Linked DNA regions of Diceros bicornis minor. The main gene of each other region encodes a partner of the protein of the gene in region 3 in a complex. Links are inferred from orthologs where the notes say so. Each region holds a gene or a part of one and is shown on either strand. Other genes may lie near its edges. The genes, in order: SMARCC2, SMARCA2, ARID1B and SMARCD1.

Region 1 (7,106 bases), on a different chromosome or scaffold from region 3:
GATTTAAGTGTGAAACTGGCGCACCTGGAAGGCCATTGTAACAAAAGCATGCATTAGATGATGTGATGGAGGAAGCAATGATTGATGAATGATGGGCATGGGAGGAAAAATGTCAGATAATTCTTAAGGTTGGAAACTACATGGAATTGAGAAAATAGTATTAACAGAAATGGAAAAAGTTGAGCATGTGATTCTGGGAAAGGAAGAGAAGTTTTGTTTGCATTTTAGGTGACCTTAAGTCAGCTGTGGAGACATATACATAGGCAGCTGGAGATAGAGGACCACAGTTTGGCTGAGAGGCCATGCCTGGAACAGTGGCTTAGGATTTTTGTCTTGGGAGGAGGGAGAAGAATGAAGCTTTGGTAGAATTCCACAGAAGGAGAGAGAAAACAAATGAGATGGAGAAATAGTATTCTAAGAGAAAAACAAGAGTACAGTGTCTCTACAGCCCAATAAGAAATCAATGGTTTCAAACATAGCAAAGGTTTCTACAAGAGAGATTAAGATAGTATGGAGCTGGAGGCAGAGGTAGACATTTTACTCAAAAAATAAAAGGAAGTAGAAAATAACGTGGTGATTTGGAAGTGTCAAATGCAGGTGTAATTTTGTTTGTTCTGAATTAATGAAGGATTGATCCAGTGGAGTAGGGGAATCTGAATGTGTTATGGAAGGATATTTATGGAAGGTTCTCTGGGAGGTTGAAATGAGTGGGATTGCAAGCCCAGGTGGAGAAGGTAACTTCAGGTCAGATGAACAAGGCCAAATACTGAACCAGTAAGTAAAGAATGTCAGTGGATGGAATGTAGTAAACATGTAAGAATGAGGAGAGAGAGAAGGGTGCTCATGCAACGCAAAGAACGATATAAGGATAGATAGGATTTGTTGGAATGGAAAGGGAAAGGGTGAAGGAATTGGGGAGTTGGGGTGGGCTGTAGGGATGGTAAAAATTTGAAATTATCTATTGTACATGAAGGTTCGAGGCCTTGGCCTCTCATCCCCGAAAGTTACAAGGGAAGCATTTGAGAGCGAAAGGTAGGATCTCCAGGTACCAGGCAACCTCCATCAGCTTCTTTTCCGTCCAGGTCCTCCATTTTATACACCTTGGAGCCGGCTTCCTATCACTACGTAATTGTCGGTTGCCCTCTGCTGGTCGATTTTAGTCTTGGCTCTCCAGAGAGTTAAATCTGAGAGCATGCGCAAAAAGGAGTACCGAGCCTATTAGGTTCTATTCGTTCATTCGGTACATATTTGATTACATCCATGTGTAAGGCCTAGTAGGGGAGATACGAACAAATAAAATACACAATCCTAACTCTCAAGAAGCTTAGAGTCCAGTCCGCGTGAAGATTAAAACACGTACACAGAACTACTGTAGAAAACATCCATTTATTCAGCAAAGATTCTTTTTCAATTGAGTGGCTTATATATGCCAAGAGTTTATATTCTACAGGGGAAGAAAGACTTCACATAATAAGATTAGGACGTAGGATGTGGCGGGCGACAGGTGGTTGGAGAAGACTTCCTAAGAGAACTGATATTTAAGTGGAGACTGAGTAGAAGGTGAGGATGAGAAAGATGATTTCAGGCCGAGAACGGCATGAAGACGGACAAATACTACACCGGGAACTAAAAGAATGCCAGTGGACGGGATGTAGTGAATACAGAAGAGCAGTGAGAGACAGGGACCAGGTCACGAACCACAAAACGCAGCCATGGAGGGGCTGATGGTCTCTGGCTACAGTGCGGATGCTTTCGTGCACTTTACATCTGTTGATTCATGTAGTCCTCACAACTACCCCTACTTTCCAAATGAAAGCTCCAGCAACTGGTAGGTCCAGCCTGCACTCACCCCTGAGAAAAGTGGACAGATTTGAGACATATTTAGGAGGTAGAGTAAATATAACTCGTTTTCATTTTGTTAATTTTTGCAGAGGTGTGTCAAAGGAAATGACTTGCAATGCAACCGAGTGGATGGTGGTGGTAGACGGATAGGTTCCAGCTGGAGTAATTCAGAGCCTCAAAGAGGAGGGGTCCGGGGCCAGCCTGGTGGCCCAAGCGGTTAGGTGTGCTCCACTGCGGCGCCCCGGGGTTTGCCGGCCTGGATCCCGGGCGCACACCCATGCACCGCTTGTTAAGCCATGCTGTGGTGGCATCCCATATAAAGTGGAGGAAGATGGGCATGGATGTTAGCCCAGGGCCAGTCTTCCTCAGCAAAAAAGAGGAGGATTGGCATTGGATGTTAGCTCAGGGCTGGTCCTCCTCACAGAAAAAAAAAAAAAAAAAAAGGAGGGGTCCAAGGATGTGCCAGATGGAAAGTGATCACAGTAGGGGGGTGGGGGTGATTTGGAAAGAACAGCAGGAACAATGGTGTAAAGCATAGAAAGTTCTATGAATTACCCTTGAACTCCCTGCCTTTTAGGGATCTTTCCTGGAGAAGACGCTGCCGTGCAAGAAATGAAATACAAAAAGAACATCCTACATATTCCCCACAATCAGAAACTGGGGGATAGGAAGAATGGGGTGAGGTTGGAGGATTAGAGGTTGGTGGAGAGATTTATTCCCCAGCTTGGTTAATACACAATTTAGAACAGTACCTGGCACACAATGAGTACTCAATAAAAAGTGACAGTGATCTTCCCACACTAGAGCTCCAGCTAGACCTGCAGTGTTTATGTTTCAACAGGCTACTCCCCCCAGCCCTGCAGTACCTGAGGCGCACCTCCTCAAGGAAATCCAAATGAGAGAATGCCCTGTTTCCTGGGTCTTCACTGTAATCAGACCTACAAGATGTGACTGCTGGTCATGAAATCCAGAGGTGTCCTCTTCTCCTGGAAACTCCAGTTTTGATTATTATAGCACAACAGGCAGTCACATTCCCAAATAAAACTTAACCCCTCTTCAACCAAATCCTTTCCTATTCCCTCCCAAAAGAATGAAACAACGGATGCCAAAGCTCTGCTCGCAAACCTGAAGTTACAGAATTCTGCAAGTGCCTTGTATCCTAGCAGCCAATACAGTTGTGCATAATTAAGCTTCCCGTGATCACTCCCATCCCCCCAAATCCGAGAGTGAGACCTTTCGGCTTCTATTTCCGAGACAGAAAGGGAACTGCACGAAAGACACACGCGAAGACAAGGAGTTCCCTTTACACGTCCTCAAAGGGAAAAAAAAACCGGCCGTCACGAACAGGATTCGAACCTGTGCGGGGAAACCCCATTGGATTTCGAGTCCAACGCCTTAACCACTCGGCCACCGTGACTTCCAAAACCTCCTTCAGCCGCGCGCTTACAGAGGGGTCCGCACTGCGACCGGGGGAGGACTCTGGCCCAAGTCCTGCACACACCCCATGACCTCCTCCCGCCCGCTCCTTACCTCTCCTCCACGCCACTCGGGGAAAGTCCGGTGGACGGGTGACCCAGGGAGGGAGGGTCTCCCGCCCCTCGAAGACTCAGGGTCTCAAGGAGGGCAAAGCTCTTTAGGAGGCGATGGCGAGGCCTGCAGAGGAAGCAGTCGGAGGGAAGGGGCTGGGCCTCCAGGGTGGCGCCCGGGGGACTCCTCGGGTTAAGGGCTGAGAGGGGGTGCGGGGTTAGGGGCGAGGGAGACTCGGGAAGAGTTTACACGGCGAGCTCCTGGGGATGGATGGAAGGCAGGAACTTCTTGGGGAAAGGGTCTGGGGGTCCCTGGGATTAGGGGCTCCGCGGGCTCAGGAATGTGCAAGGTGAGGACCACTCGGAGCCATGGGCTGGGGGCTCCTCAGGCGACGGGCGTCCCCCTGGGGTAGGATAGAGAGGTACCCTACTCCCCGGGCTGAGAGGCGAAAAGAGCCAAAAGGCTTCGCGTCAGGTCAAGAGCGACCTCAGAGAGTGTGCGCCCCCTCCAGGAAGCCGCCAGCTCCCCAAGGCTCCTGCCGCCGCCGCCGCCACCGGGGAGGCCGCCAGGGTCGGTCCCGCGCCCGGCGCTTCGCCGCCGCCACGCCCGGCCGGCCGGCAGGGGGCGCTGCGAGGGCCGGGGCCGGCCCAGGCAGCGGGAGGCGGCGGCCGCGGCGGCGGGAGGCGGCGGGAGGCGGGCGGAGGAGGAGGCGGAGGAGGCGGGAGCTGAGCTGAGCGGGGCGGGCGGCGGCGGCGGGCCCGAGCCCGAGAAGATGGCGGTGCGGAAGAAGGACGGCGGCCCCAACGTGAAGTACTACGAGGCCGCGGACACCGTGACCCAGTTCGACAACGTGCGGCTCTGGCTCGGCAAGAACTACAAGAAGGTACGCGGGCAGGGCCGCGCGGGCCCGGGGGCGGGACAAAGGACCGGCCCCCGCAGCCCCCGGCTCCTGCCCACCCGCGGCGGCCCGCGGCCCCTCCCCCGCGGCCTGCGGAGCGGCCCCCGCGCCCCTCCCCCGCTCCCGCCGCCGCCCGCCGGCTGGGATCGCAGCCCCCGCCCGCGCCGCTGCGCCCTCTGCCCCTCGTTTTTCTCCCCTGCCCCCGCGGGTCCCGTGCCAGCAGCCCACCCTCCCTTGAGCCATCGCCTTCCGGGCTTTTCCGGGAGAGAGGCCGCGGGTGGACGGGGTGCAGAATGGGCGTCCCCCTCCCCCTCCGAGCGTGCCCGCCGCCGTGCCCGCCGGAGCTCCCCGCGGAGCCAGGTACCAGCAGAGCTGAGGCCTCCCTGGTGCTTTGTGTATGTTCGGAGAGAGATGATGGGAGCCGGAGGGTAGACAGCCACGGAGCAGGCCCTTGGCTGCTCATCAGCCTGAAAAAGGCCCCCACGCTGGGATCACCTGTCTCTGCCTCCGGTCCCCCACGTCCATCCAAGGAGTAACAAAACCTCTTCGGGAGCCAGGCTATAGGAGTTGCTGGGCAGCGACTCCTTCTTAAACCCTTCTTCAGCTTCACAATGAAGTCACCCCACCACCTGGCCTTGCATTGCTTTGGGTTTGGGGTTCAGAGGCTAGGACACGCTGTATATCTCTAGCCCCCCACCCGATAACTGGAGATAACCAGGTAGTGAACAGAGCGTTGGAAACACCTTACCTGTCTTTTCCACCAGAGCTCTTGCTAGTGCTGTCTTTGTCTTTCCGCCTGGTTGAAAGGAACATCTACACATAAGATTTTTCTCTGGAGAGAGTCTGCCTCTCTCGCTTCTACCACCCCCCGTTAGGGGCTCTCTTTCTGGCTTCCCTTCAGCTCCCCAGTTCTTGCTACTGAGCTTTGCAGCCTGTCAGAAGTGTGATGGGTGGTTGAGGAGAACACCCCTCTGATCCTGGTTCTGAGCCTTGCCTTGTTCACGGAGGTCTCTCTGGGTGTCAGCATCCTGACAAACAGCTGCTGGGTCTGTGGCTTGTCTGTATCCCAGCGTGAGGCTCTGGTTGCCAGGCTTCTCCCTTTGACATTTTGGAAAGGAGATCAGTCTAGGGGCTTAGTCTCTGGCCCTGGGGGGATTGACAGCCTGTGACCTGGTTCAGCTTTCAAGCTCTTAGCTCTTTGTCTTGTACCTTTTCCTTCAAGGATCTGTTTCCACCTCCCGCTGAGAGGAGCACTCCTCTCTGTGATGTGATTAGGGTTGAGGAAACAGGGGTCAAAAGGCAAAGAGAAAGTTAGCCTCCTGGCTCAGTTTTAAATTGGAACAGAAGGCTAGGATGCTAGGTAGCATAATACAGAAATGTTTAAGAAGCCCAGGGTTGCTTGTCTCGGATATAGTTTCCTCCGACAGGACAGATGTTGTCTTGCTCTCTTCCCACTAGGCTGGATAGTAGCTAGTCCTTCCCATCTTTGGGGGGCGGGGGCTACAAAGAAGCTTGTGCTGGGTCCTAGCAGAAGCAGAATGCACAAGCTCACTCTCTCAGTCTGTTTGCCCTACTCGCTTCCTTGTACCTTTCTTATTAGGCTACATTATAGGGGAAATCTTGACCTTCCACAGAGTTACCCCGAGAAATACACCATTGCCTCGAAAGTGTGGCTTCCATGGCCTGAACTCCACGAACCTTCAGAATTTCATAACCCTCAGTGCTGTTGGCTAGAGATCAGGGTCATGCAACTCCAATTTCAGGAAGCAACCCTTACCCCCAGCACCCAACGCTGGCCCCCTAGGCTGGGGGCAGCAGAATTTCAACTTCCTGGTGAGGGGCATCTAGGGCCTCCCTTCTCCTATTTTCCTTTGGACACTAGACATGTGGGAGAAGACAACACTATTTTCTCTGCCCCAGATGCTTCCAGAGTTCCTGAGGAAGGAATAAGGGAGATGGTGGACAATTTATCTGGGGTCTGTGTTTCTCTCTTTCCTCTGTCTCCCAGTATATACAAGCTGAACCACCCACCAACAAGTCCTTGTCTAGCCTGGTTGTACAGTTGCTACAGTTTCAGGAGGAAGTTTTTGGCAAACATGTCAGCAATGCACCACTCACTAAACTGCCGGTGAGTACAAAAGCAAGGAGGCGAATCCTCCCAACAGGAGAGGGAGTTTTGGTTTTTTTTGGAAATTTTATGATTTTTGAGATTTGGGTCATTTCCTACCATCCCTGTATCTGGTAGGGCATTGTTGGCTTGGCTTACTCCCCAGTTTACCATTCCCATTTTCTTAGTAATACTTTGTGCAGTAATACTTTGTACAGGTTATCTCAGAGAGTCTGAGCTCCATACATGAACTCCCGTGGCATGGTTAAAAGGGGATGAGATTTGGATTTTCACGGGCCTGTGTTCAAATCCTGGCTCTGCCACTTGATGTCTCTGTGATCTTGAGCAAGCCATTTAAACCTTTTGAGTCATGGTTCCCTCATCTCTCGATGAGATTAATGTTTCTGTAATGGTTAATGAGGTAACCCAGCAGAGTACTTGGCACAAAGGTGGGGCTTTGTGAATATTGGTTTCTGTCTCTCCCCTCTTCCAGGCCACATGGTACAGTGGCCCAGGAGTTAAAGCATTCCAGCTTTGAGAGGGAGACCAGTTCAGCATGGGATTTTGTGAAAGGATTGTTAAGTAATAAGAGAATTTAGGGTGTAACTCTCACATCCTTCTTTCCTGTCTCAATTTTGTAGATCAAATGTTTCCTAGATTTCAAAGCGGGAGGCTCCCTGTGCCACATACTTGCAGCTGCCTACAAATTCAAGAGTGACCAGGGATGGTGAG
Region 2 (7,579 bases), on a different chromosome or scaffold from region 3:
GCAATGTCAATGCCATGAAAGTGAAAAAAACCAAAGGGGACACCACTATCACCCCTCTGCCTATGACACTTCTCTAAGTATTCCTTAGGTACAATACTTGACACACAACCAGTTTCCTTAGGGACCATGTAAAGGTTCTAGGGTCAATGAGTATAATAAACATTTATAAAGCTCTTTTTTGGGGGGTGGGGGGTCATTACATCATTACATTTTTTAATCATTAAAGGAAAAAGAAATAAAATTTCTAACGTTCTTGCCATATCACAATGAATTGTCTTGCCCACTCTACTTTGAAAACCCCTGCCTTAGGCAAATTACTTACTGCCTCTCATGTCTTCATCTGCGAAATGGGGATAATATCACATATCTCACAGGGTCAAATGGATTAAATGGCATATATAGAGGTCTCTGCACAAACACTGGCATCTGATTTAAAGAAGAAATAAAAGCAAGCTGCTATTATAATTACTACTACTCTATTAAACAATTGCCATGTACACACTCATGTTACTCCTAGACTAATTTAAAAATGAACCAAACAAAACCTCCCTTCCATGCTCTTTATGTGACTGCAAGAGCTGTAGCTTCACTTCACATCCTACCTCCCCCTACAAAAAAAACCCAAAACAAAGCAAAAGGGAAAACCAAAAGCATATCAGCCTTCTCAGCTTGGAAAATAACATAAAGATTCTAAATACTTAGTAATCTTGTTCATTAACATGATGGTTAATAAAAGAAGACCTGCTAAATTCTCTATTGCAGATATTTTTCATATATATCTCTCATCCTTCCATTCAACAAAGTTTTTTTTTTTTTTTTTTTAAACAACATACAACATGCCAGGCATCTGGCTAATTGCTCAGGTTTCAGAGATGAATTGAACTTGCTCTGCACCCTCCAGGCACTAGCCATCTAGTGGAGGATACCAAAGAAATAATCGCATCAAAGTGATAAGTGCTGTAACGGAGGTACACACAGGTTGCTATGGGAGCAGAGTAGGACAAGTGGCTTCCTTTGCCTGGGGAGGGTAAGGAGGGCCACTGGAAGGCTGCTGGGCCAGAGTTGAGTCTTGGAGGATGTGGATTGGGAACCCACATTTCAGTCTGCGGGAAGTATATCCAACATGGCCCCTTAGGAACCAGAAGGTGGACCAGGTTTCCAGAACTCAGGCAATTGCATGAGGTCAACAAGGCTGGCAGACATCTGAACATACACAGGCTTGGATGGCATGCTAAGAAGTCTGAAATTTATCAGATAATGGATCGGGAATAGACAAAGACTCTTAGGATAGAGAGTGATATGACCACAAACAGAATTGGGGTGGTACTTTGGAGGGATGATTGTGGAGAAACAGAATCTATTGAGACTGTGGTTTGGAAAAAAGGAGAGAGAGGAGTGTTTATTTCTGTAATAAATTTAGTTGCTAATTCTAAACTCTCCACTAAATTAAATGTCGGCTGATTCACTTTGTCAAAGTTTTGTTTCCATTACTGTAGATGAAGTACTCATTTCCTAAATAGTCTTACTTGCTCCTATTTGAAGCCAGGCAACATTTCACCCGGCATGAACAGTTTGCCTGGTGGGAGTAGAAGCTTCCTAACTTTGTGCATGGAGTTTTTCTTTATGGGGGTGTTGTAACAAGATACCAGTTTTCAAACCCAATATCTACTCTATTCAGAACATGATCCAAAGCAGACTTATATAACAAGTGAATGTGGCCATACAGACACGAAAAAGTGACTTCTATCCCTTGATGCCAAACTAGAAAGAGAAAAGCAAGTTCAGAGAATACATTATGACTCATCAAAGTCCAAAAGGAAAAGCTTCATGTGAATCTAGCATCCCGTGCAGCCTCCTGGAGTCCTTTTAGCCTCCAACCATATTTGCTTTTGTGTGATTTTCTGCAAAACAAAAGAACCCCATCATTTTCCTCCTTAACATCACTTGTTAAATTTAGCTTTATCTCAGAGATGAAGCTCATGCAATATGTTCTACAAACTTCTTTTCTTACTGAGTAAATGGTGCTGCCTTTTCATTTCTCCTGAGCATAGGCCTTATTTTATAAAACTTCTACTTGCTGAAGTGCAAGCTACAGAAAAGAGGATTCTTCAGAGGACAGACCTGAAGGAAGAAGGTAGTGCTTTCTTAGACCAATGTGAAAGGAAAAGGAGATGCAATATCTATATTTAATCTCTGTTCCTAGCAATAGATTTTATTTTTCAATTCCCAAAGTTGTGCATATAATGCATGGATACCAATCCTTCCAAGTACTGCATCAAAATTTTATATGAGCTGAAGAATATACACATGTAACAAAGGGAGTGTTTTCTTCTTTATTTTCCCTCTGACAAAATGCCAGAAAGAATAGCCAGCCTCTTCCTCCAGTGTCTTACTAAGATGATTGCTCTCTTTTTGAAATTTGGCATGGCAGATGAACGTGGAATCGTAAAGGAATAAAGGGCACTCATTCACAAGGAAATAAAGGTGAAGTCATCAATTTACGAAAATCGGCATGGGAGTTTGGCATGCCACGGAAACAAATTTGGCCTGAAAAAATTAAAACCTAATATTACCTAATGTAATAAGCATTGCCATTAGGTTAAAGCCCTTTTATAGGCAACTAGGTTATCTGGCTATATTAATAGTTGCATTTTATTAGGCAGTTAGAAGTTATATTTTTACTACATTGCTAATTTTGTTTAAAATTTCTTGCCGTATATTTCCCAGCTAATAGTTACACTGGCATATCCTCAGGCAGAAAAACAAGTTCTTACAACAGATTCTTCAGGGCATGCTATATTCTATTTCTCTGAGATGGGTTATCTTTTGTTGTTTTGAGGTTCACTTTGGAATAGAGAGAAAATTATGAAGCTAAAGTTGACAAGCAAGGAACAAGGCCTGAGAAACCTACAGGGTGGGTGACCATTGACACCCCTGGCCACCCAATGGTGCCCTTGCAGATTCTACTTCTGCCAGCAGTGGACCAGCAACGTAAACAATTCCAGCCACTTAATGACCACATGAGGGCTTTGGTGTTCCTTCCATTGCTTCTTGTCTTCAACGTATCCAGTGCATAGTTTTAAGCATCCTAGAACTGCATTTCAGACTCAACTGCTCAAATAGAGTTAATTTTGCAACAGTAAAATAGTCTTAAAGTAGGATTTTACTCTAGGGGGAAAAATCCTCAACTAAATAGTCACAGTGCACTTTGAATGACTAATTTAAACCAGTACATTACAAAATAAGGGATAAATCATACTTTTCATAACACTACCATACAGGAACAGTTTTAATTTTAAGAATCCAGCACCTACATTAATCTGAGTCTAAAATAATAGGCCCCTGATTTAAAATCTCCTAACATTCTTTCACACTTCATAAAGCTAAAAATAAAATTGTCTCAGCAAACACTGACCTATCGTCCGGCCAAAGTGCTGTATTTCACGGAAAATTGAAACAAGAGGTCTCAAAACCGCAAAACACCAGCAGTTTACCGTCGGTAGCCTTAATTGGTCTTAACTGTGGGGTGGGAGAGAAGAGACTATGGTGTGTAGAGAATAAGAGATTTATTCCCCTTCTTAAATCAAATGCAGATGCCATGCTTCCACTGCCCCCTAACCCGCCCGCCCCGCCCCCAAGGGGTTGTTTTTCCATATTTTTGTATATATTTTACGTGAAGATGACAGGTAAGGGAAGGTTCAAGGGCTGTGTCTGGTCCACAAGTAAACAGAGGGGTTAGGGCAGGCTTCTTTATTTATAAGGCGTTCAGCCTCTCAGCTGTTTTTCCCTCGTTGGCATTTGGAAGCTTGCAATCCTTTAGAAAAGAGACAGATTTGGCAGGAATGTTCTTTGTGCCGGCCTTCCTTTTTACGGGGGAGAGTGGGGGCAGATTTATAATTACTGCCTTGGGCGGGGGACGGACGGGGGAGAAAAAGTTTCAGCCGGCACGACAATGCCTGTTTTTTTTCATGGTCAACACTGTGTCACAAACAGCTTTGGTGCCACTCAGAGCCCTTCCCTTGTCCCCTCCCTTTCCCTCTGCAGGCTGGCTCTGGCAGGCGGAGGCACAGTTAAATTCCAGCACCTTCTCCACATACCCCCAAACTACTACGCGCTATTACTACGGCTGCCCTCCCTTTCGCTTTGCCTGCTCTGCTTCCCCAGACTCCCCGGAGGAGCTCGGCAGCGCCCCTGGAAGAGTACTGCCAGGAGAGGGATAACCGGCGCCCAACTCCATCAGGGCTTGGGGCTGCCTGCGTCCTGCGCAGTTTCTCTGCTCCAGGCACAAACACGGCCCGAGAGCCGGCGCCTTGCAGACACACACGGATCCACGCATACAGTAGAGCTGTCTCGAGCCACATTCTTGCACACCGCCCCCTCCTCCCCCCGAGCTCCCGGAGTCGCTGAGCGGGGCGAGTGACAGGCGCGTCCCGCCAACCCGCGCCCGGGCGGGCAGGGAGGAGCGGCGCGTGGGGCCAACTGCGGTGCGTCTTCCGGCGCCCGTGGAGGCGGCGAGGGTGGGACGCGGGGCGGAGCCCGAGTTTAGGAAGAGGAGGGGATGGCTGTCATCAATGAAGTCATATTCATAATCTAGTCCTCTCTCCCTCTGTTTCTGTACTCTGGGTGACTCAGAGAGGGAAGAGATTCAGCCAGCACACTCCTCGCGAGCAAGGTAAATATAACTTACAACTCCTTTTTCCTCTTTCCCCTCCCTCCGGTCTCCCCGCTGCCGCCGCCGCACAAACCCCTCCGGGACCGCGCCGCCTTTGCTGGGGATTATTCATTATTATCCTAATTATTATTTATTGTGCATGCACGGAGACCAAAACAAACAGGCGGGCCAACCGCCACCACAAAAAAGCCCGCCTCCTCCCCGCGGGCCTCAGGTGGAATGCTCTAACGACAGCTCCAGGGCGGCGGTGGGAGAAACGGGAAAGTTTCAACCGAACCTTGCTGTTCTAATAATAACAGTAATAATTACTACTTCAAGGAGGCGAGGGGGAAAAATCCCAACAAACCACAGCCTTGACCCTGGGTAGCCAGTCGGCGATGCGCTGCCAACTCAAGGTTGCAACACACACACCTTCGGCAAGGTTGCAATCCCCCCATCCCCTTAAAAGCCGGGGGTGGGGGACTGAGGCGGAGGGGGAAGGCAGGAGGACAGGGGAGGAGGATGGAAACGCGACAATTCATCCCAAGCAGTCCTCCCGGAAGAGTTGGAAGGGGAGCGGGAGAGGAGGGCGAGAAGCCCAGGCTGGCGGCGAGGCGCCAACGAACGCGGCTGCCACCCGCTTCCCGGGGACTTGTTTAAAGGGCTCCGGCTGCGGAGAAGCGAGCGGATCGCGGCGGGAGAAGCCTGAGCTGGCGCGCCGAGGAGGCGGCAGCCACTGCCGCGGGGCCGGTGCGTGCCGGATCGGAGGTGTCACCTCCACTTTGCGCTTTCCCTCGGGCGGGGATGGGGACGCTGACCGGTAGGGAGGCCTTTAGGCGAAGGGGCTGCAGGGGTGCTGCACCCGGGGCTCTGCGGACGTCCCTGCCCCTGGTACCTGGCGGCCGCGCGGGCTCGGATGTTGAAGTTCTGGGTGTCCGGCCCGGGCCGCACTGCTAGGAGGGAGGAAGGAGGCTACGAAGAAGGAGGTCGGGGTGCCCGCCGGGCTCAGTTACCCTGCCCTCCCCGTCCCCGGGTTTGTTTTGCTTTGCGTCTTCCCCTAGCTTGAGCCGCGGGAACCGCGGGCGTGGGTCGTCCGCGATCGTCCGGGAGCTAGGGGCTCGCTGGGGCCCGGGAGAGCCGCCGTGGCTGCGGGCCGGGGAGGCCATGATCCGGATAATCCTCTCTGCCTGACTGTCACAAACAGGACCCGCGCGCACCCGGGCAGCGGCGGTGGTGTTCGCCGGAGAAGGGAAGGGCTGCGGGGGGGTGGGGGAGAGGAGTGGGGGGTGGGTGGCGAGGGCGGGAGGCGGGGAGACCGGGTGGGAGCCTCCTCCCAACGATGACACGCACCCCTTCCTTTTCGCTCCCTGCTTTCGAGTTTGCTTTATTCCCATCCCAACCTGGTTTACCCCTTCCTCTGCTCTCTCCCTCCATTGGCCGTCTTTCCTCCTCCCGTTTGCGTTGCAAAACACGGCCATGCCATCTGCAAAGGTGTCGCGATGCACTTCCCCAAATAATCGGTCCTGCGCGCCAACCCCTAGGCGTCCTCCGGCCGCGGGGCGCACACCGATCCTGGTGCCCCGGGTGCCCCGCACCAGGCCTTGCAGCCTGGGGGCAGTTGCACCGCGCGGGGCGGGGCGCAGCAGTGCGGGCTCCAGGGGACACCCGCGCCCTGGTCCGGGCACTGGGGCCGGTTTCCGGTACACGCGGGGAAATCGCCTCCTGCCAGTGTCTGCGCGCTCGCTCCCGCCTCCGCCGCCTGGATTGCATTATTATTTTTATCCGGGTTGCCGCTTGCAGCAGATCCTGGTGAGCGCGGGGCTGGCCGGACTGGGGGGTGGGGTGGAGGGAAGTTGGACGTGGATCAGGCAGGAAAAAAAAAGTTTGGCAAGGCTGCTAAGTAGGGTGGGGGGGGTTGGGAGGGGGCGGCGGGCTCCCGCGGCTCGCGTCTACGCGCCCTCGGGGCCGGCGCGAGTGTGTCTGCGCGTGAGTGTGAGTGTGTGTTGTGCGCGCCGGGGCCAGTGCGTCGGGAGCAGCGGCGCCGGCAGCCGCTCCTGCCCGCGCCCTCCCCGGGAGCCGGGGGAGCACAAGGCGAGGTTTGGCGGCGGGGGCAGGCGGGGGTGGCGTGTGCGTGTGGCTGTGAGTGTGAGTGTGAGTGTGCGCGCGCGAGCGGCAGAGAATCAGGAAGTCACAGCAGCGAAGCGCACACAGACATGTTTGATCGCCGTGACATGACGCGCGCGAGGGAGGAAGCGGCAGCGGCGGCGGGGGCCGGGCCGCGGGCTCGGGCGCGGGCCTAGGGCTCGGGCGGGGAGACCCGCTCTGGGTCGCGGGCCGCGCCGCCACTGCAGGCTCGGCCAGCCCCGCGCCTCTTTTTGTTCGGCGTCCCCCAGGTAAGCAGCCTGCGCCGCCGCCCCCCGCTGTGTGCGGAGCTTTCCAGCTCTCCCTGCCGGCCCCCTCCGGTCTGCCGGCTCGCCTTTCCTGCAAAGTCAGGCAGGCGGGGGAAACGGGCTCCTTGTCTTCCGATCGATTGCGTGGAAAACTTTCCAGCGGGAGGCACCGTGAGAGGGAAAAAGAAGGCCTTGCTGGCTGCTGTCGCTTGTCAGTTCTTTCTCCTCCGGGTCCGGAGAGTGGAGTCGCTGCGCCTTGGGGTTGTTGCACATTCAAACTTCGGGCCTAAACGTGCCTCCAACTCTCGCAGGATTTACTCCAGCAATAAAATTAATATTCCAAGTCGTCCACTTGGTCTTGCCAGGCGTTCGGATTTTTTAAGAGAAGGAGACAGGCTTGGGAGTCGAGGGAAATGGGGGTGTTGTGCAGAATCCATTCCTTCTTTCATGTCTGCACCGGGTGTTATGTAATTTAGTAGCACATGGGTGCAAAGCCCATACTGGGCTTCTCCCTTCCTTTGTTTATATAACTTTTGGG
Region 3 (7,171 bases):
TTCATTGGTGTTACTATGTTTCTAGGGACTTTGGAGAGAAATTGTAGCAGCCTAATGTTCAATATGACTTAAGGTTCTGGAAGTCCAGATCCAGCAGTGGTGGGTTCCCAGTGTCACATCAGAGCCAGGCCAGACTTGAGGATTAGGGCGAGGTGCCCGGCCAATGGCAGCCAACGGGGCACAGCTGCAGGGGATGCTGTTGGGTGGGGAAGTCAGGGCTTGTTTTTTTTGTGTGTGAGGAAAGTCAGCCCTGAACTAACATCTGTTGCCAATCCTCCTTTTTTTGCTGAGGAAGATTGGCCCTGCGCTAACATGCATGCCCATCTTCCTCTGCGTTATATAGGACGCTGCCACAGCATGGCTTGATAAGCGGTGCCTATGTCCATGTCCGGGATCCGAACCTGCAAACTCAGGCCACCAAAGCGGAGCTCGAACTTAACTGCTACGCCACCTGGCCAGCCCCAGAGCTTGTTTCTTTACTGGCCAAGTCCTCCGTGACATTTCAGGGCAGCCCTGAGTGTGTTTTAGGATAATTATTTCTCTCTCCTATTGAGGACAAGACCAAGCTAATATTTATCTTTTTTATTCTCAGGGCATGTCACAAAGTAGATTCTAGATAAATCTGTTGAATGAATAAGTGTAGTTTATCCTCATCCAGGTTTATTATCCCCACTATAATACTCTTAGTAAGTATAATAGTGCTACATTGGTCAGGGTTCCCAAATATATTTAAATTATTTTTTGCCCAGATTTTTTTCAATCTTATCTAATTGTTTTGCATCCTAAGCTTACAGGCCACTGTTAATTTGCATTGTTGTTTCAAATCAAATGCTATATGCCCTATCTTGCTTTTACTCAGTTATTCACTGCTAACGTCTAAATCGGAGAAGTGAAAAGGACAATTGTTTAGTGCTTTTTAAAGTCTCTGACCAAGATCAGTAGGGAAATCCCATTAGCTCCATTCATTGCATTTCTCATAAATCTAAAAGGAAAGCAAGTGTCCAAAGCCTTATTCTTTAATAGTTCTTATTTGTAAAACCTTGACAGGGCTTTATTCTAAATTGCTTCCAAATTACGGAAAGAATACTGAGAAATATGATGGGTAGTGAATCGTGCTAGTTTCAGTTATCGAATAAATAACCAGAACAGTCAAAAGGGGGCTAATCTGAAAGCAAATAGTATGATGGGCCACGATGAGGCAAAAAGAACAGAGCTGTGGCATTCTTAAACTACCATCTGGCTCAATCCTCTTTAAGTGGGCAAGTTGAAGAGGCTTTTATTCAGCACCCTAAAACTTATTCAGAAGGAGCAGTATTTGAATATTAATTTTTCATATAGTTAAAAAAACCCACCAAAACCCTTTTGTAGCCAAAAAGGGATGTTTAACAAAATAATGGGTAATCCTCTGGCTAAACATGAGGGCGTGGGGCAACCCGTGGGTGGGAGTTGGCTGTAGCCTAGTGCAGCCACTCGGCAGCTTTTGGGCCTCCACCTGCGAGGCTGCCTTGTGGCTGGAGTAACTTACTAAAGTTGTCATTATGGTTTGAAATTTAGGCAAGAGGTGTAGAAATAAGGAATTCATTAGGAAAAATGAACATGGTGGTTTCTAGTACCTTATATTATCCAAAAAACAATAATGTAGAATTGCCATATAGGATAATCAAGGCAAGTGACACAACAGAAAGGATCATCTATAGTTCAAATTGTGCTTTTGTGAAATGTGAACCTATTTCCTCACTTTCTAAACAGACCCCTGGCCGACTGCCGTTTTGTTTATTAAGTCCTGGATTTTCAAAGCGAACTCTAAGAGGCTTTTATTTTGTTTTCCTGAGAAGGTGTGTTTGAAAAGTACAAGCTGAATAAATCAGATCCCACTACTTATCTTCAGCAAGATGCTTTAAAAAAGGTATTTGAGCATTCTCTGTGGTTTAAAAGACAAAACCCAGTCCTGCTGGCTTTGTGTTGTGCTTTTCTTACAGACTGCAGTGCCTTCTGTCTGTTTTAGGGTGTGGCACCTGCCATCCGGGAGGAGAAGCTGGCATGTGTCGCCTTTTATAGCAGATTGATTTCATTGTGCTGAGGGCCTCTACTTCATAGCCTCTTGGTTCCAATCTTCTAGTTGACTTGCAGAAGCAAATGGAATTAAAAGAGATTTCAACTTATATCCTTACTTTTTTTTTTTTAGTTTCATGATTTATCCACATGAAAAAATATTTTTAAGAAACGGGCCAGAGCTGAACTTGGTGACTCATTTTCCCTTTTAGGATTAGCTGTGAAAATAAGCCACCAAATATGGCTACACTTGTATGAATTGACTTTGATATATTTTATCAGTGAGAAAAAATATACTTTTATGATTGTATGTATATATTTAGTTTGACTATAAGTGTCTAAAAGCACAAATATGTAATTGGTTTTAGAATACATGTATATACACACATACACAAAACAGACGTATTTATATTTGCATATGAAAAACTTTAAAAATTCAACTTATGTGCTGTAATGCATATAATTAGTATGGGTTTGAATATATAAAGGGAGAAAATGTCAAAAAGGTATACTAACAAAGATGTAGTATTCTCTTGGCAAAAACTGATGAATGATTTGGCATGAATTCATCTTACAGTTCTGTTATTCTCTCTTACACATGATGCTATAACCCGTTTCTCAGTCGTTTGCATAGAATTCAATTTGTTGTTTCTACACTCTATAATGACTCCTGGGTGATTCCCCTGATTTCTCCTTCCCCCCAGTTAGTCCCCAGTTTTTCCCATCTATCCTTTTCTATTTAGTCATGTAACATACCTGCATTTGGTCAAGCAAACAAAAATAACCACTGCAGTTGAAATCAACTAAAAGAGCCTTCCTGAAAAGCTTAAGAATGAAATTATTTTAGAAAACTACATTCTACCAAAATCATACATATTATTTCAGCTACAGTGACCTCTTGAAAGCTCTGGTTTCAAAGCCTTTCTCTGGATGAAAACTGAGTCCACACTAGTACAACTGAGCCATTGCTTAGGTTAAGAAGTCCTGCTAGTAAAGATAATTCAAAATGTTCCTAGGTGATGAATCTCCAATAATAAAAACACTTAAAATATCATAATGTGATAAAACAATAGTCTTTTGAAAAGAACAAAGTATGAAACATTTCTGCTCTAGGATTAGATTTGACTGATATTATTGAGCTTATGTTTATTAAATATAGCATGTATTTGTTTTAGTTTTGTTTCACATTGCTTAGATATGAACTCACATCAAGAGGGTTAATTGTGAGCATTAACCTCTGAAATATGATGAAAGGTGTCATACGGATTTATGAAGATATGAGATAAACCTTAGCTGTCGCTATTATGGCACCAAGAGTTCAATCTCCATGTGCAAGTGCTTGGGAGCATAACACACCGCTCTGCATACTTGAGGACTTCCCTTTAGCCAGAGAACAGACATGTGCATTGTATGCTCCTTTGGGAATACTTTGAGTTTTCATTGATAAGCCTACACACACATAAAGTGCCTTTAAAAAGTTATATCAACATTATTTTTGGGGCAGGTGCAATCGTACGCATGTATTGAGTACCTGCTGTGTACAGGGCACAGCGCGCCTTGAAGGCGGCTAACCTTCCCTTAAACTCTCCCTTAATTTTGCAGTTTGAAGAAGTTGTGGGAATTACGCGGACGGCCCGCCATCAAGACAGCGAGGCTCCCATTCTGAAAAATTACATAACTCCTGGGCGAGGCAGCGATCTTCTGCCCAGATCGCCCAAATATTTTCTTTCTCCGGCGGCTCTTCGGAACCTTCGAGGCCGACCGGCAACTTTGTTCCCCAGCCCTTCTCCCTCTTTTGTCTGCTCGTCAGACTCGTTTTCCACCTCTGGATCGTGCCTTTCCGACGTGAAAACAAACACGCGAACGCCGGGTCGGCAAGGAGACGCAGGCACGAGGGGAAGGTGCAGCCTCCCGGCGCCCCACGCCGCCGCGCCCCGGGCGCCCGCCGGGCCGGCCCGAGCCCCCGACCCGGGGCCGCCGGTGCCCGCGAGCCTGCGCCGGGGCGGGCGGCGGCGGCCCGGGCCGAGTCCAGTCCGCGTTTTGCGAGTGCACCGAGTCATCAGAGAGAAGTGGATAATAGTTGCTCGGCTCGCTCGGCTCCCTCTCCTGCCTTGCTGGGCCCGGGAGGCTCCGGCGGGCGTGTATTTCCCCAGATCCGGGGCAGAGAGGAAAAAAGTTGCATTTAAACCTGAACTCAAAACTTTCACCATGAAATCCCCCCGCGGGAACGGGCCCAGACCGTAAGGCGTGACTCCCGATCCGGCTCCGGCGGGGCCTGCGGAGGGGGAGGGGGCGCGCTCGCTTCCCGTCGGGGCGCGTGGATGCGCACAGGAGGGGCCGCCGCCTAAAAAGTGGGTTTTATTGTCTCCCCCCGCCCCCCGCCCGGCCTGGCCACGCCGCGGCGATCATGGCCGCGCGGGCAGCAGCGGCGGCGGCGGCGCGGGCGCGGGCGGGCAGCGGCGATCGGCGGGCGCCCCCCGGGCCGCGGCCGGCGCCCGGGGCCCGGGACCTGGAGGCGGGGGCGCGCGGCGCGGCGGCGGCGGCGGCGGCACCGGGCCCCATGCTGGGGGGCGGCGGCGACGGCGGCGGCCTGAATAGTGTGCACCACCACCCCCTGCACCCCCGTCACGAACTGAACATGGCCCATAACGCGAGCGCGCCGGCCGCCGCCGCCAGCACCAACAGCGCCAAGAGCGGCGGCTCCGAGGCGGCTCTCAAGGAGGCTGGAAGCGCCGCCGCGCTGTCCTCCTCCTCCTCCTCCTCCGCGGCGGCGTCCTCTTCCTCCTCGGCGGGCCCGGGCTCGGCCATGGAGACGGGGCTGCTCCCCAACCACAAACTGAAAACCGTTGGCGAAGCCCCCGCCGCACAGCACCACCACCACCACCATGCCCACCACCACCACCACCATGCCCACCACCTCCACCACCACCACCACGCACTACAGCAGCAGCTAAACCAGTTCCAGCAGCAGCAGCAGCAGCAACAGCAACAGCAGCAGCAGCAGCAGCAACATCCCATTTCCAACAACAACAGCCTCGGCGGCGCGGGCGGCGGCGCGGCTCAGCCCGGTCCCGACATGGAGCAGCCGCAACATGGAGGCGCCAAGGACAGTGCCGCGGGCAGCCAGGCCGACCCCCCGGGCCAGCCTCTGCTGAGCAAGCCGGGCGACGAGGACGACGCGCCGCCCAAGATGGGGGAGCCGGCGGGCGGCCGCTACGAGCACCCGGGCCTGGGCGCCCTGGGCGCGCAGCAGCCGCCGGTCGCCGTGCCCGGGGGCGGCGGCGGCGGCGGCGGCGGCCCGGCGGCCGTCCCGGAGTTTAACAATTACTATGGCAGCGCTGCCCCTGCTAGCGGCGGCCCCGGCGGCCGCGCTGGGCCTTGCTTTGATCAACATGGCGGACAACAAAGCCCCGGGATGGGGATGATGCACTCCGCCTCAGCCGCCGCCGGGGCCCCCAACAGCATGGACCCCCTGCAGAACTCCCACGAAGGGTACCCCAACAGCCAGTACAACCATTATCCGGGCTACAGCCGGCCCAGCGCGGGCGGCGGCGGCGGCGGCGGCGGAGGAGGAGGAGGCAGCGGAGGAGGAGGAGGAGGAGGAGGAGGAGCAGCAGGAGCGGGAGCTGTGGCGGCGGCGGCCGCGGCGGCGGCAGCAGCAGCAGCGGGAGGCGGCGGCGGCGGCGGCGGCTATGGGGGCTCGTCCTCGGGGTACGGGGTGCTGAGCTCCCCCCGGCAGCAGGGCGGCGGCATGATGATGGGCCCCGGGGGCGGCGGGGCCGCGAGCCTCAGCAAGGCGGCCGCCGGCGCGGCGGCGGCAGCGGCGGCGGGGGGCTTCCAGCGCTTCGCCGGGCAGAACCAGCACCCGTCGGGGGCCACCCCGACCCTCAACCAGCTGCTCACCTCGCCCAGCCCCATGATGAGGAGCTACGGCGGCAGCTACCCCGACTACAGCAGCCCCAGCGCGCCGCCGCCGCCGCCGCCGTCGCAGCCCCAGTCCCAGGCGGCGGCGGCGGCGGCGGGGGCGGCGGCGGGCGGCCAGCAGGCGGCCGCGGGCATGGGCTTGGGCAAGGACATGGGCGCCCAGTACGCCGCTGCCAGCCCGGCCTGGGCGGCCGCGCAACAAAGGAGCCACCCGGCGATGAGCCCCGGCACCCCCGGCCCGACCATGGGCAGATCGCAGGTAACCCCCGCGCCGGCCGGGCCTGCTTCCGCCGCGGCGGCCTGGGCGCGCGCCGCGAGCCCTAGTTTCTTTCTTTCCGCGTACTTTTTCCGCGTCCTCTGCCGGGGGAGGCGGGGGCGAGGCGCCCAAAGCCATCTTAACTCGCGGCTGCCTCCCTCGGAGGCCGGGGAGCGCACGATGTCCGGGCGCGCGGCCGGGGGACCCCGGGGCCTGGGAGGGGGTCTCGCCGCGGGCCGGGCCGGGCCGGGCCGGGCGCCGGGGTTCCCGGTGGCCGAGCAGCCGCGCCTCGCCACCCCGGCCCAGGCGCGGGGCCCGCGTGCGGGAGTCGGGGACGGCGCGACGCTTTTGTAACCGAACAGGCGCTCCCGGCCAGTGCGGGCTGGACGGAGATATTGACCAGGTCTTCCCGGTTCGCGCCAACAATAAGCTGGAACTGGGAAAAGAAGGGGGAACTTTGTCCTCCCTCCGGCCCCACTGCGTTCCCTCTTAGCTTACAAGGTGGAGGCAGGCAAAATAGGTTAGCTTTGTGGCCTCCGAGGATGTTTTCCGTAGTTCTGCCCAGCCATGCCGAGACATTCGATGCGGGGCTTTGAGTTTGACGGTTCGGTAGCAAAAATGAGACCCGCATTTACGACGATGTGGAGGGAAAATATTCTAAAATATAGCTATTCGTTCCTAAGAAGAGCCAGGAAATCCATTATTTGGCCCAGGCTGCTTGAAAGGAGTCACCTTCAACAGAGAGGCTGTGTTCAAGCAACACATTCCGGTTAAATTGAACTTATTTTGATCATGGACGAGGCACACTTTTTATTCAGCAAGTGCAGGAAAATAGCAGAGCAGTGAAAATGGATCTTTTGGGATCGGATTTATTTGGATTTTCTTGAATTTGCTGTCACCCGAGTCCTACTGCGTTATTAGGAAGTGTCCTGCGCTCTT
Region 4 (7,885 bases), on a different chromosome or scaffold from region 3:
TTGGGAAGGTGCTGGCAGAAGGGCACCACTCAACTGGCGCCTCTCACCTGACTGGGCGCAGACTTCCTGGTGGAGAAGGACCAGGAGTACTGTGTGTGTGAAATGCCCTGCAACCTGACCCGCTATGGCAAGGAGCTGTCCATGGTCAAGATCCCCAGCAAAGCGTCAGCTAAGTACCTGGCCAAGAAGTTCAACAAGTCTGAGCAGTACATAGGGTAAGAGCAGGACACGGCCCTTGGGCTGGGACTGTGAAGGGTATGAGTGGGCTTTGATGGGGCTGCCAGAGAGGAGGAAGTTGAGATAACATGGGGAAGGCAAGCAAAGAGTCTGGGGGTGGGCGTGGAGGGAAGATCAAGTCAGAACAAGCAGAGGAAGCACCTTTTTCTCTTTCCTCCTCACTTTACCCTCTATCTTCATCCTCTTAGCCATAACTGGAATCACCTCCTCACACTTACCAGTGTGCAGAGCGTCTTTTCATATACACCACCACATGTAATCCTCACCACAACCCCAGAAGGCAGGTATCCCCATCAGCATCCCATTTGATGGAGATGGAGGCTGATATTCAGAGAGGATAAGTTGCTAAGGTCACCTAGCTAGTAAGGGACAGAGATGTGACTTGAACCTAGGTCTCTTCCTCCAACCCCTTTGCAGGGAGAACATCCTCGTGCTGGACATTTTCTTTGAAGTCCTCAACTATGAGACCATTGAGCAGAAGAAGGCCTATGAGATTGCAGGGCTCCTGGGTGAGCTGCTGATGGCACCTGTCCCCTTCCCATGCCATGGGCATGGAGTGACACCCTACCATCTGAAGTGTCCCATGAGCTCCTCCTCCCCTGCGATCCCCCGGGGCCTTTCCCCAAACTCTGTTGTCTGGGTATGTGGTGGGGGGAGGAAGATGGGCTGTCTGTTAGAGCAAAGTTGAAGAGGCCTGTGGGCGTGAACATGGGACTATTTCATATGCCCTGGAAAATCTGCCCAGAGAATAAGAGTGTTGGAGTATTTTGTAAACAATTATTTTTTTCTGAATAATACCTGTTCACTTTAGAAAAGTAGAAAAATGCAGGGCCGGTCCCATGGCTTAGCGGTCAAGTGCGCGCGCTCCGCTACTGGCCGCCCGGTTGGGATCCGGGCGCACACAGACGCACCGCTTCTCCGGCCATGCTGAGGCCACGTCCCACATACAGCAACTAGAAGGATATGCAACTATGACATACAGCTATCTACTGGGGGGGCTTTGGGGGAAAAAAAAAAGGAGGAAAAATGCAGAAAAGCATAAAGAAAATAAAAATCCCACCAGAATTGCTTTGTGCGCCTTCTATATGAAGGCTGTTGATGCTTTTGCAGGACTTGCCTGCCCCTGTCCCAGTGAGCTCTGCTGCTCCCTCGGTGTCCTGACCCCACTGACCTCCCTGTGTCCCCCATGCAGGTGACATTGGGGGCCAGATGGGACTGTTTATCGGGGCCAGCATCCTCACGGTGCTGGAGCTCTTTGACTACGCCTACGAGGTAAGCGGGGGTGGGGATGGAGGTGGGGCCACGAGAGGGGCAGGGTTCCAGTCCGCCCACCCCTCCACCCCAACCTCCCTCCCAGGTCATTAAGCACAAGCTGTGCAGACGAGGGAAGTGCCAGAAGGAGACCAAAAGGAACAGTGCAGACAAAGGCGTGGCCCTCAGCCTGGATGACGTCAAAAGACACGTGAGAGAGAGAGACAGGGGCGCCCTCCAGCCCTGCCCCTTCCCCCACCACCCTAGGACCACCCCCCCCCCGCCCCCGCCACCTTTTCTCCTTTGCCTCCCCCACTCCCCAGCGTCACCTGTGGCCCTTCGGATAACCAGTCGCTGTCTTGTGCTGTTCCCCCAGAACCCGTGTGAGAGCCTCCGGGGCCATCCTGCTGGGATGACATACGCTGCCAACATCCTACCTCACCATCCGGCCCGAGGCACTTTTGAGGACTTTACCTGCTGAGCCCTGCAGGCCACTGTACCAAAGGCCTAGATGGGGAGGGCTAGGAGAGCAAGGGGGCCCCCAGCTGGCCCCCTGCATCTGCCCTGGGGACTCACTCCCCGCTCCCGAGGCAGCCCCCAACTCCTGGGCAGTCCTTTCCTCTTGTCTGTGGTGAGGAAAGAGTCTTGACCATAGAGTCCTCTCCCTGCCTCTCTCCCATTCTTGTTATTTTTAACAAAACTAATCTAAAAAAGAAACTAAAAAGAGAGAACGGGCAAGTGACCTCAGGCTGCCCCTCTCTGCTCCATGCTGCCTCCCCTAGCTCCCAGCCTGAATTCTGTCTGTCTGGCTGTCTGTCGTCTGAGTGTCCACCTACATTCTGCTGCCACCAGTCACCAAAGCCCCCTCCCAGTGGGGGGTGGAGGGGATCCTTGGGGTCTGGAATTTGGCCCCAAACCAGAGAATGTACCTTGAAGGGGAGGGCTAGTGGGGGGGGACTTCCCCAGCCTTAAGAGACCCTCTCAGCCCACTGACCCCCCCCCCCAACCAAGTCTCCAGGCAGGAACTAAGACCCTAGTCCCCCCAACACCACCATGTGAAGTCTCTTGGGAGGTGGGGGATCCCCTGAAGAAGTGGAGATGGGGGCAAGATGTGGCCCTGGTGCTCTGGCCACATCCTGATACCTACAAGTTCATCCCCACCCCAGAGCTGCTGGAGAGAAATCCCAAGAGGCAGCCCTCCTCTATCACCCATAAAAGATCCAGCTAGTTGGCTTCCAGCTCAGGGAGAGGGGCACTGGTGCCTAACCTCACTGGTCCCTCTCCCAGGGGCCCCTGCAGAGGGCCACATCCATAAATTTTCTTATGGAACTCTCCCAAGTCCTTTTCCCCAACTTCATTTGCTTCTCTCAACAACCTCATCTGCATTTTCTATTTCTATACGATACAGACTCTATATTGCTATATCTCTGTATATACTTTCCCCTAACTCTGTCTGTCTATACCCCATCCCCTCTTGTCTCTAAGAACCATCTTTCCACCCCAAGTTCCCCTTTCTGTGTTTCTGCCCCCTCCCTGGTCTCTGAATGCCTTCACCTGTATAAAGAGTTGGACTCTCTCCCCTGGTGTCTGTACTGTGTACACACATCCCTCTGAGAAGCACAAGGAGACGACACGCGCATTGTAACCTTCGCACTGTCTCGGTGGCGACATAAAGGAAGCTGTGAATCACAAGCTCTGCCTCTTTCTGGCCTCACCGTCTTCCCCCAACCCCAGGCACCCTCTGCCCTCCCTGCAGCCTTAACATTCCCTCCCCTGCTCCACCCAGCCCAAAGTCCTTTGCCTGGCTGATGGTGGCCTCCCCAGGGAAGGAGTTGCTGCAGAGAAAGCCCTCACCCAAGGGATGGAGATCTGCTCTGTACACTAAGGCAAGGGTGTCAGAGACAGAGGAAGCTGTGGATTGGTAACTCCTGCAGCTGGAGCGGTGCAGATGACAGGCAGAAGCTGAGGTCCTTAGTCAGTGGCCTTTCCCTCCTTCTGGGTGCACAGCCCCCTTTCCTCACCTGACATCCAAGCCCACCACTTATATTTTCTGGTGAGGTACGGTTTGGTAGTGGGAGGAAAGAGACAGGCCTAGAGGGGAGCTTGAAAGCTCTGCTCTTCTGTCCTTCTCTTCCTACGTTAGTGAGAAACATAAGTGAGGTAGAGGGCTCGCCACGCCCCCTCCACCAGACACTCCTCCCAGGCCAGAACCCTCCCCCTTCCCAGAGCTTCTCTGCCCAGCTGTCTCTTGGTCTCCAACCCCAGAACAGGAACTGTAGTAGGTCACCTGTGCATTGGCCTGGTGCTGGAGAGGGAGGCTGTAGGATCTTTGGGAACTCTTAGTTTGTAGGAGTTCCTTAGAGATCAGACCTCTCCAGAAGGAAGCAGGAGCATGGCCAAGGGGTGTGCACCAGATGGGGAACAGCAGGCAGGGCTATGGGGGACGCATGCCTCTGGTCTAATAAACTGGGTTTCAACCATCTCCTCTTCAGTGTCGTTTTTCTCTTATTTGAAGAGTATTTAGGCCTTCCCACTAAGTGCTTAGAGCTGAGTTTGGCTTGGAGCCAAACAATCAGGGGAGGAGTTAAGGAGGCTTGAGCAGGGAGACCCTGGTCCTCCTGGGGTGGGACAGGCTGACCATCACACCAAGCATGGTTTGAACCACTGGGCAGGGAAAGAGAGGCATCAAAGGCAACAAAGATCCCAAAGAGAAGTCCTATCACAAAGGATTCTTTGGAGAGGGGGCAGGGTCAAAATTCAAAATAAACTTAAAATCTGGAAGCAGGTTAGGTTAAAGTTCAGGGACAAAGTTGGGTTGAAGTTCTAGGGTGAGGTAGTTATTGAGGCACTTTATCTGTGGAATGAGTCCCAAGCTATGAGCCACAAGATCTGGATTCTAGGCTTCGGCTCTACGGCTAACTTGTTAGTTGACCTTTGCCAAATCATTTACTCTGAGTTCAGCTTTCGTGTTTGTCAAATGGAATAAACAGTGCATTCTCCTCTTCAGCCCCCCGGGCTTACAAACAAAAAACAATCAAAGCGCTTTGGGAAGTTAAATGCACCGCGCCAAGATGAAGCAGTCACTCCATCACCCTCTTCCTCCGAGCTTTGGGGCTGGGGCTGTGGTCCCCTTTCCAGTCCTTGTCTTCCTCCCGTCGCCTGGGGGCGCCCCCTCACAGGGCCTCTCTATCCCGAGTTCGTCTCGATGGTTTCCCCTCCCGGACCGTGAAGGGGGGGAGGGAGTGGTCAGCACGCCTTTTCCGCTAGTCGCCCCCCTCTAGCCCACAGTCTCGCTGCCCCCAGCCTCCCGTGCCGGCAGGCCGGCCGGGCGGACAGACGGGCGCGCGGGGGGCGCGCGGGGGGCGGGGGGAGTTCCGGTTCCGGTTCTTTGTGCAGCTGCAGCCGAGGCTCCGGGGAAGATGGCGGCCCGGGCAGGTTTCCAGTCTGTGGCTCCGAGCGGCGGCGCCGGAGCCTCTGGAGGGGCCGGCTCGGCGGCTGCTCTGGGCCCAGGCGGGACTCCGGGACCTCCTGTGCGAATGGGCCCAGCGCCGGGTCAAGGGCTGTACCGTTCCCCGATGCCCGGAGCGGCCTATCCGGTGAGTGGGGCGGGAGGAGGGGCGCGCGGGCCGGGGGCGGGGCCGAGCGGGGGCCTGGGAGTGACAGGGGTGGGGGAGAAGTAGGAGGACCTCCCCTGGGAGGGATTCGGGCCCTGAGTGGGGGTAAGGGGAGACAGTGCAGAGGAAAGGAGGGGAGGCACTTAGCATCCCCACCTGCTTCTAGGGGTATTGTTTCCGTGGGGAGTCAGGGTATAGAACCCGCGGGATGAAATGGTGGGCATATGAGGGCTGGAGTGCAAAAGGGCTTGGGCAGCTCCAGTGCCCACAGGAACACGGAAGGTGTAGCTGGCAAATTGAGGTCAGCTACAGTGCTGAGTAAATGTAGGACTAGGAGAGCTGTCCAGTGTGTCACATAAAAAACTGGCTGGGGAGAATTTGAGTATAATTTGATTATCTCTTAGCTTTTGGGCTGTACTCTCCTATGGAATCACAACTGGAGCAGAGGAAGCTCCAGTTATGTTTTAAAGAGGGAGAAGGCTCCCCTCCTGTTGTGCTCCACCCCACCCCCAGCCTTGTTTCATTCAAAGAACTCAGCCATCCCCCACTTTACCTTTATTAGTGGGGTTAGTAGGGGAAGCCATGACATCTCTGGGTCCTCTCCTCTCTGTAGAGACCAGGTATGCTGCCAGGCAGCCGAATGACACCTCAGGGACCTTCCATGGGACCCCCTGGCTATGGGGGGAACCCTTCAGTCCGACCTGGCCTGGCCCAGTCAGGGATGGACCAGTCCCGCAAGAGACCTGCACCTCAGCAGATCCAGCAGGTCCAGCAGCAGGCGGTCCAAAACCGAAATCACAAGTAAGATGCCTCAGGGCAGAGGGAGGGAGAAGGGAGGAGGAGAAGGAGGAGGCCTGAGGCCTGTGAGGACACAGGTGGTGGGAGTACCTGAACCAAGAAGCAGTGGTGCTGTGTCAGCAGATGGGTGCTCATTCTTGAGAATGCCTCATGTTGGTTGGGGGCAGGGGGATGTCTTTGATTTGAGAGAAGCTTTGCAGTCTCTCTACTTTACTATAAATGGAGGTGCTGACAGCCTGTTTGCATGTTCTGGCTAGTTCCATCCCAACCTGATAACAGTATTTATTCTAAACAGTGCAAAGAAAAAGAAGATGGCTGACAAAATTCTACCTCAAAGGGTGAGTCCAGGCTTTAGGTCTTCTTGTGGGTGTGGTGGGTTTGAGAATAGAGATGGTCAGCTCTAGATCCCAATGATATCTTTCTGTTTCTAAGATACGTGAACTGGTACCAGAATCCCAAGCCTATATGGATCTCTTGGCTTTTGAAAGGAAACTGGACCAGACTATCATGAGGAAACGGCTAGATATCCAGGAGGCTTTGAAACGTCCCATCAAGGTAACTCGGGAGAGGGCTAGACAGAGAGCCAAAGGCGAGGACTCGGGAACCTTCACTAGGCTCAGGATGAGAAATCAAAGGCGCAGCACAGCTCTCCTTGGCATTTAAATTATATCTCTCCCTTCCGCCTACGAACTGAGTGTTACATTAGAAGCATGAGAACAGATAGCAAAGGGGGAGGGGCTTTTGATATCTCTTGCACCAGAAACGTACCCTCTCCGGGTTTTTGCTTTAACAGCTCTGCCGCCTTAGGAACCTGGCACCTTGCGTGAGTTTGTCCACCTGGCATCCCAGTGTATGCACTTGCACTCAGGCCAATGGCCAGTACTCCTCTTCTAGATGGACTCTCCATCCACCCACCCCAGGGACTGGGTAGACAGTACTCCTGTTAGGAGTAATTTTGGGGTTTGGGGAGACCCTTGTCTTCAACATCAAACCACTGAAGCCCCACCATCAATCCTGTTTCTGCCTTCCTCAGCAAAAACGGAAGCTGCGAATTTTCATTTCTAACACTTTCAATCCGGCTAAGTCAGATGCCGAGGATGGGGAAGGGACGGTGGCTTCCTGGGAGCTTCGGGTAGAAGGACGGCTCCTGGAAGATGTGAGTTCAAGGTCCACTGTGGTTGGCATCTAGGGTGGGAGCTGCTGGGAACAAGCAGTGTTGTCTGATTGGCAGGAAGCCTTACTGGTGCTCACAGCCCTTGTTGGGAACAGCAGGGAGAGGTCACAGTGTTCCTGTACTAAAAGACAATGGTTCTTTGTGTCTGGTTCCCACAGCTTGGCCCTCACTGTGGTATCATATCAAGAACGTTATTGTCCTGGGATTTGATTTGTTGTTTACCTTCCTCCTGATGCCGCTGGCCATTGGGATGTAGCAGTATCTGCAGATTATTCAATTAAGTTTTGTTTTTTTTTTTTTAATCAAGTGAGTTTGCACTGAGCATTTGAGGCCATGCTTTCCTCTCTGAGTCCTTGATTCCCACTGGCATCTCCATCTTCCCAACTTTCATTGGAGACATCTCACAGTTTAAGTGGGATAGATTTCTCTGACAGGCTCTTTGTTGCTTCGTGGGGAACATGAGCAGACAGGTGATAGCCCCCAAACTTCCCACCCCAGAAGCTCCTTGGGGAATCTCACCTTTCATTCCCTTACACTCTCTGGCTCTCTATTTTAGCTATTCACAGGCAAGCTAATTTGAATGCATTTTTGCAGGAGAACCAGGGCTCAGTGTCAGCCTCCTTCTTTTCTATATAGGTCCAGTCCATCTGCTGGTGGTGTCATTCCATCCAAAGAAAGCTGTTTTTGTTCTGGCTGCTTACTGCCTGTGATTCATTTCCCCTCTAGAGTCAGACTTTTCTCTGTTCAGACTCGCTTTGTTATGTGCATCGATTTGGCTTAACTTGCCTCGTTTCTCTTGGGGAAATGAAGT

What was found.
Region 1: ARID1B (region 3) and SMARCC2 share a complex: the UniProt entries of both Homo sapiens proteins name them as parts of the neuron-specific chromatin remodeling complex. The link is inferred for Diceros bicornis minor from reciprocal best matches to the Homo sapiens genes ARID1B and SMARCC2.
Region 2: ARID1B (region 3) and SMARCA2 share a complex: the UniProt entries of both Homo sapiens proteins name them as parts of the neuron-specific chromatin remodeling complex. The link is inferred for Diceros bicornis minor from reciprocal best matches to the Homo sapiens genes ARID1B and SMARCA2.
Region 4: ARID1B (region 3) and SMARCD1 share a complex: the UniProt entries of both Homo sapiens proteins name them as parts of the neuron-specific chromatin remodeling complex. The link is inferred for Diceros bicornis minor from reciprocal best matches to the Homo sapiens genes ARID1B and SMARCD1.

What each region holds. Positions count from the first base shown.
Region 1 is NC_080756.1:12,583,330-12,590,435, forward strand, and holds the start of SMARCC2 (SWI/SNF complex subunit SMARCC2), read left to right. Parts: upstream 1-4,088; 5' UTR 4,089-4,141; coding exon 4,142-4,252; intron 4,253-6,275; coding exon 6,276-6,395; intron 6,396-7,015; coding exon 7,016-7,101; intron 7,102-7,106. UniProt on the Homo sapiens protein: Involved in transcriptional activation and repression of select genes by chromatin remodeling (alteration of DNA-nucleosome topology).
Region 2 is NC_080761.1:26,385,938-26,393,516, forward strand, and holds the start of SMARCA2 (probable global transcription activator SNF2L2), read left to right. Parts: upstream 1-4,572; 5' UTR 4,573-4,672; intron 4,673-5,234; exon of another isoform or gene 5,235-5,401; intron 5,402-6,359; exon of another isoform or gene 6,360-6,460; intron 6,461-7,579. UniProt on the Homo sapiens protein: ATPase involved in transcriptional activation and repression of select genes by chromatin remodeling (alteration of DNA-nucleosome topology).
Region 3 is NC_080778.1:12,667,709-12,674,879, reverse strand, and holds the start of ARID1B (AT-rich interactive domain-containing protein 1B), read left to right. Parts: upstream 1-4,165; 5' UTR 4,166-4,459; coding exon 4,460-6,235; intron 6,236-7,171. UniProt on the Homo sapiens protein: Involved in transcriptional activation and repression of select genes by chromatin remodeling (alteration of DNA-nucleosome topology).
Region 4 is NC_080756.1:19,739,486-19,747,370, reverse strand, and holds the start of SMARCD1 (SWI/SNF-related matrix-associated actin-dependent regulator of chromatin subfamily D member 1), read left to right. Parts: upstream 1-4,869; 5' UTR 4,870-4,907; coding exon 4,908-5,084; intron 5,085-5,715; coding exon 5,716-5,903; intron 5,904-6,195; coding exon 6,196-6,238; intron 6,239-6,332; coding exon 6,333-6,455; intron 6,456-6,933; coding exon 6,934-7,056; intron 7,057-7,885. Other genes in the region: ASIC1 (acid-sensing ion channel 1), read left to right, coding at 62-215, 655-746, 1,430-1,509, 1,595-1,699, 1,865-1,969. UniProt on the Homo sapiens protein: Involved in transcriptional activation and repression of select genes by chromatin remodeling (alteration of DNA-nucleosome topology).